Linked DNA regions of Yarrowia lipolytica. The protein of the gene in region 1 purifies or fractionates together with the protein of each later gene. This does not show direct contact. Links are inferred from orthologs where the notes say so. Each region holds a gene or a part of one and is shown on either strand. Other genes may lie near its edges. The genes, in order: YALI1_F04259g and YALI1_B27254g.

The links.
Region 2: the proteins of YALI1_F04259g (region 1) and YALI1_B27254g purify together in Saccharomyces cerevisiae (affinity purification with western blotting, with the first as the bait; 4 studies listed by BioGRID). This does not show direct contact. The link is inferred for Yarrowia lipolytica from reciprocal best matches to the Saccharomyces cerevisiae genes PAM16 and TIM50.

The regions. Positions count from the first base shown.
Region 1 is NC_090775.1:424,873-427,813, forward strand, and holds YALI1_F04259g (uncharacterized protein), read right to left. Parts: upstream 1,088-2,941; coding exon 644-1,087; downstream 1-643. Other genes in the region: YALI1_F04264g (uncharacterized protein), read left to right, coding at 1,551-2,941. UniProt on the Saccharomyces cerevisiae protein: Essential component of the PAM complex, a complex required for the translocation of transit peptide-containing proteins from the inner membrane into the mitochondrial matrix in an ATP-dependent manner.
Region 2 is NC_090771.1:2,723,669-2,727,626, reverse strand, and holds YALI1_B27254g (uncharacterized protein), read right to left. Parts: upstream 2,183-3,958; coding exon 782-2,182; downstream 1-781.

The DNA.
Region 1 (2,941 bases):
CCTTATAAAAGCTAGGAAGCTACAAGTAGTCAGATACTGGGATCTTAAAGGAGCTCTTCGAACTTGGATACTCTCCGCGAAACATCAGTATAAGAGCTCTGACCACTCGTACATGGTAGGAGATCTGTTACCCCCTAACAAGGAAAGCACACAGTAGTATCTGTTTCTAAGTAGAAGCAGCCTCCATAAAGTGTTGAAATTGAAAGGACGGGATCATCCGTATCTTAACCTGCTGCAAGTATCGTACTGTTTCGTCTCTTCTGGCGTACAGTAGCTTCCTTACAGTACAGTATGTAGCACCTGATAGGACAGAACTATCGAGAGAAAATAAGCAGCAACGTGCCACAGAATAATGAGCACACCAGGGGCCTATATACGAGTATAGTCTACTTGTTTTTGTACTCTCCTTCGATCGGCCCTTTCAAATGTATAGCTATGGTATGTGCTGAACTGCATAGACTGCTTGGTTCCCCATTACTGCTCGGTTTCTTCCTATGTCACCACTGCGTAGTTCACCAAAGAGTCCGCTCCTGATTTACTTTCATTCTATCCGGTTACGGTTCCGTATCATCATCTCGTTATGCTATTTACAAAACACTTTTACTCACACCGAGTTTGTGCCGATCTGTCCCTATCTCTCTCATTATTTTTTCTCCTCTTCCTTCTTCTTGGGTTCCTCGATCTCGGGCTTGGGCAGCGGGTCCAGCTCCAGCTCGCCCCGGATTCGCTCCATGGCTCGGTACACCTTGGATTGCAGGTAGAAGGAGCCCGACTTGTGCTCCGAGTTGACAGTGTACAGATGAGTGAACTTCTTGTCGATTTGAGCCAGCACTGACTCGGACTCTGCAATGTCCTCCAGCTTGTGTTTCTTGTTGAGCTCGGCAACCACCTTGTCGAGGGCGGTCTCGTCCACGTCGAGAATCTTACAGGCCTCGTCCAGCTGGAGTCCTCCAAACTTGGATGCTGCCGACTTGGAGGTCTTGGAGGCGGCCTGGGCGGTAGCAGCCTGCTTGTAGGCCTGGGTGAAAGCCTTGGCGAAAACCTGGGTGCCGGTCACGACAACTTGATAGATGAGTCTGTGGGCCATGGTGAAATGTGTGTGGTGGTTCTTAGCGGTGTGGAGAAAAGATTTCAGGTTTTTGCCAGAGTTTATTGTTTTGGGAGGTTCGAGGTTGGGAACTCTAAAAGTAAGTCGCAAGACTTGTAGTCGTGCGGATGGACTAGATGAAGGAGTTTCGGTATGAAAATGTGATGGGATTTTTCGCGTTAATCAACTCTTTACACTCTTATTTTTTCCACTTTACGACTTTACTTTACCACCCCAATCGGTCTTTTAATCCTACCCCTTGTCTTAGCTTGTCATACACTCTGCTGCACATGCACTCAGCCTAAACCTCCAAACTTCATCACCACCAGACACACACTCATCCAAGGTGAACAAACAACGAGCATCCCGCAAACAGTACAACACATATACGATATTAAACGACACAGTTCGAATCTACAACAATACCCATCCGTTTGTCGCTGACTAATCACTCCCCTCCACTATGAAATACGCTGTGGACGCGGGTATCATCAAATGCATATGCGGGTTTGACGAGGACGACGGTTTCACCATCCAGTGCGAATCCTGTAACGTGTGGCAACACGCCGTGTGTGTGGGAATCGGCTCCGAGGCGGAGGTTCCAGACGTGTATCTCTGTGACCAGTGTGGACCTCGAGAACTGGATGTCAAAGCTGCCCATGAGAAACAAAAGACTCGCCTGGAGACTATCAAACAGATGCAGGAAAAGAAACGAAGGAAAGAATCGGAAGAGAAGGAGGGCCAGTCAAATGGTGACGCGTCTGCAACTACCCAGGCCACGCAGACTCCTCCAGTGGCCCCCTCTAGAGAATCAACGGAACAGCCCAACAATGAGGAAAACGACTACCATTTCGATTACACTGTGATCCCCAGAAATACCGTGGACCCGGAAGTCAAGGATTATCTTGCCAAGTTGGCCAATGAGGAAATTATTGACAAGGACATCAGTTACATGTCTCTATCGGAGTATTCAAAGATTGTCAAGCCTAAGATGACCTTAAAGCTGTTCCAAGACAATCCAAAGTCCAAGTTCTGTGGCTTTTCTAAGCATGGACTTGTGGCCAATCAGCCTATTCAGAAAGACCGCTTCATCATCGAGTACGTGGGTCATGTTTCACATAAGGACCAGTACAAGGCAGACCCAATCAACCAGTATCGCATCCATCCAGTGCCCAAATCGTCAGTCTTGTTCCATCCAACGCTTCCTCTAGTGATAGATGGTCGTCTTGTAGGCAATGATGCGCGGTTCATGCGCCGTTCGTGCAATCCAAACTGCAGAGTGGCGACTGTCGTGGTTAACAACACCGATATCATTTTTGTCGTGTTTGCAACTGAACCAATCAAGCCAGGTACGGAGTTGACACTCGCATGGGAATGGGACACTCATCACCCCGTGCAAAAGATGCTTCATGGCACTGAAATCGACCAGCTCACCCCCCAAGAGAAACTGTGCCTGGGCAACATGGTAGAGACAATTCTGCAACGAACAGAGTGCTCCGACCCCACAAATTCTCAGTGCATTTTGCAGAAAATGAAGAAATGCGTGTCTGCAAACCCCCGATCTGTGCGAGGCTCGAAAACAAGAGCTCTTAACCTTCTTAAAGAGACGAATGGCGAGGGAGGCTCTTCGTACGAAGATTCGGGCAAGTCGTCATCAGCATCACCCAACCCGGAGCTCCTTCCTGGCTCTCAGGAGCTCAGTGTGGGTTTTGGAATTGGCTCGTCGTACAAAGGTTATGGAGGTTACGGAGGCATTCAGTTCCCGTCTCCTGTGCCTCCCACTTGCATGGACTATCTCGATAAGTTGGACGACGAGCATCGCACCATTGCTCTGGATTACATTGAGGCGTTTGC
Region 2 (3,958 bases), on another chromosome or scaffold:
TAGCTAAGACAGGGTTGCTTGAGAAGAGCATGACAAGTGAGAGGGAACAGCTGGAAGCTTTGCACGTTCTGTTTAAACACCTCTCACTACTTTTGTTCTACTCATTCACATCGCCCATCATCGTCCATTATATATAACTCACCATGTGACGTACGAGTTTAAGACATGAGGAGGATCTAAACTCAGCCCTGTTCAGCCGGCTCAGGACTGTAAGCGAGAAAAGTCAGAAGAACGAGACTACAGTTTCGTCGCCACTCTTCCAGAATAATGTACTCATACTAATACTTGTATGTTCATCAACTTCGGAAAAAACTTGGTGTGTACTTATAGTCTGATGAAAGAGATACCAGGGCTCATACCGAGGCAGCTCGTATCAATGCATACTGAAGATATAAATAAACTGGGTGCGTCGTTATCAGGGTAACAGATCAGAGTCAATCTGGCTCATCTCAAGATAACAGCAAGTCGTTGATATGAAAAGTGCACATCGCGTTTGATATATATTTGTGTTTCCCCCAGCCGTCGTCCTTTCCCTTCACCAGACACGGGATATATATATGCGCTTGTGCAACAGACATACATCAGACAGTTTGTAGCGAAGAAGGGGCAGTGACTAACAGTTCTCAGCCAGCGATTGAATAGGCCCGGACTACGGCTACAGCAGCTACATTTATCCAATCGCGTTGTCATTCGCTTCACCATTCGCTTCACACATGGCTCACACATGGCTCGCTCATGGCTCTATCACTCATCGTGCCACGTTAACTCATACTATATACATCTAAGCTTTGGGCTCAGTGGGCTGCTGGGGCACAGGAGGTAGAGAACCAATGCTGGAGACAGCCTCCGACAGGTTCTTAGGTCCCATAGCCTTCTGCTCAGCAATCATTCGCTCCTCCTCGGCCTTGAGCTTGGGGCCCTCAACGGCCAGGTACTCCAGGAACTTCTGGTACTGCTTCTGGCCCTCTCGTCGCATCACGTCGTGGGGCATCAGAGGCTTCTGCTGCTTGGGCTCGGAGACACCCAGGAACTTGGAGGCCCACTGGCCGTCCTTTCCGTGCTTGGCGTACCAGTCCTTTTCGAACTTTTCTCGGGCAATGGCCTCTCGTCGGGTGAACTCGTCAGGCAGATAGGTGCCATCAAAGGCCTTAAGAATGGGTCGAACGTCGTTCACGTTCTGAGACACCAGCCATTCCAGGAAGGGGATCAACTTGACCAGCTCCTTGTCGCCGGGAGTTCCCTTCCAGGGCTCGATGGGGATGGAGTTCTCGGGCTGCTTCATGGTGCATCCGGTATCGGGGTCGATGATGATGATCTTGCCCATATCTCGGTTCATCAGAGACAGGTCCTTGACCAGCTTACCGTCCTCGTAAGTGGTGTGCTCTCGGGTCAGAACGTGGGAGAACCAGGCGTGGTAGGGATCAAGCTTCATGATGAGCTTCTCGCAGTTGGCCATGTACTGAGAAGAGAAAAGAACAATCTCATAGTACTGGCCGAGGTAGCCCAGGAAGTAGTCAACGCCAGGTCGCTTTGCCACTCGCCAGCCATGCTCTCTGCTCCACTCCTGGTGGACAAGCAGATCGTCGAGGGCAATAACAAGCGTCAAAGGTCGCTGGTACGGGGGAGCAGGGGGATCGGGGAGAAGAACGGGAGCCACGGGGTCTCGGTAGAAGGAAAAGGTGTCTCCGATTCGAGCCTTGAGACGGGCCCACATGAGCATGGGGGTGTATCCCTGGCCAATGGTATCATGCTTCTTCTTGTCCTCCTCATTGTCCCAGTCTCGGGCCAGGTAGGCGGCGAAAGCTGCTGATCCAGCAAAGAAGGCGTAGTATCCGTAGCCGGCAATTCGCTCTCGAGACTCCTGCTTGGAGGTCTGGTCGGTGGACTTCTTGGCAGTTCCGGCCCATCGGGCTCGCTGCTCGTCTGTGACATCGTCCTCAGTAGCTCCCTCGGCAGCACCCTCGGACTTGCCCTCAGCAGCAGGCTTGCTCTTGCCCTTGGACTCATCAACGTCCATACCGGCCTGGGCCAGCAAATCGTCGTTCAGCAAAGAGCTCTGGAACGGTTGGTCGGATTTCTCGGTTTTTTTGTCCGAGTAGAATCGCACGGCGGGGGTCATGGCCCGCTTGACACCGGGACGTGCCACCCGTGCAATCTGGGCTGCTCGCAGTAGACTGTGCATTGTGGATGATGAAGAGTCAATGTGCAGTGGAAAATCTAATATACTTTGTTTCGGGGCCTACAGACTTCTACAAGGCGGTAATGTGGAGTGACATTTGCCACTGACGAGAGCCAGTGGACTTGGGTGTTATAAGGCAGCTTGGGTGGCGAGTATTCCCACATTTTTATTTTGAGGATTTCCATTTCCGCCATTCTATTCATCTTTACGTTGGTCGTTTAGCCCTCCGTATGGATTTTCTGTACACTTCTTTAACCCCGAAATTTCAACGGTGAAAATGACGGTTCATGTTTTCCTTTGGGTTCTAAAAGTGATGTCAAGTGATGCGTTCTGAGAAATCGAGTGCGTCTCCCACCAAAAGTGTAATTGTCTTAGTCAGACACCGGCTTGATGTCGGTGATGCTGGGGAGGGAGGTAGGGTCGATTTTGAGGGCTAAAATAAGACAATAACGAGAGGTGATTCGTCTAAGTGTACTGTCTGTCACTATCTTTACAGATTGGTATACTTTTCGAGATGTTGTCTTTATCAGAACCCCAACTAATTTCCAACTATTTGAGCCATTGGTACTTAACCTATTACTTACAGGAATCCCTTATCTTTCTTCACTGATTCGATCGAACACTGCCCCTTGCATAGCAAGTCCAGCTTCGAGCTTACAGCGAGCTTACAGTGCACACAGAAAAAGCCGTGAGTGTTTGTATGGCTCCCATACAGCTATTTGTAGGTTGCCAGGTTGGGACACAGGGTTAGGACAATGATCGAGAGATGTTACGAGCCACAGGTACGAGTACAAGGAACCCGAGCCAGGGAGAGCCATAAAGGGCTCGCATCGCAAACGAGGCTACCAGTTGGGAAGTATTCGGTCCAAATACAACATAGACAGGCTCAGAGTAGTGTAGCTAGGTAATTAGTCTAAAAAGTGATCGGCGGGTTTTATGTGGGTTCCATGGGGACTGGGCGGCATTTATATGGAGCTGGTTGCTGAGTGATATGAAGAAGCGTTGTATACCTCTGAAACACAAGACAAAACAATACCACCAGACGCAACTATTGTCTGGTTGCTACCGGTACTCGCGCGTACATTGTCACCAAACAACATCAGCAGCAATACTTATATATGTACGTACAGCTTTTTAATATACTTATGCCCAATCCACAACTGCGATAATGGTATCTCAAAACCTCCAAACCCAATAAATGACACTGCATGCTGAGAGAATTGAGGTTAACCGTAAACGGGAGAAGTTGAGAGCTGCTAAGAAGAATAATATCAGAACTGGCAGCAACGGAGGCTGTATATGCCGCAAGACAGTAGTGATACAACCACAGCCCCACCATACACTCTCGTCCTATCATCTGCAATTTCGTTCCAAGACAAAGTTTGGACTGGGTGCATGAAAAGAGGTCTGTTCCACGTGCCTCCACTCCAAGACAAGGCGGTCAGTATAGACTGTGCGTAATACAGACCGTGTGTCTGTTACCCGGAAGACCGCAGCTTATCAGCCGTATGAGGTCACTGAAGGTTAGGGCATTTTGTGGGGCTGAGCGCTCCCAGATGTGCACTTGTCTCACAGCCGTAGGTTTCTTACAGTACAGTACGTGTTGTGTTATAACGACAGTGGTGTTAGAGGTGGGGAAATGAGGCTGGTAGAGTGGTGTTTAAAGGAAGTGCTCTTTTGAATCTACAGTACAAGTACGAGAATTGCACAATCCGTCATATGTGGACTAGTGAAAAGCCGTTTAAAACTGGGGCTTGGATAACGTGAGCACCTGTATAT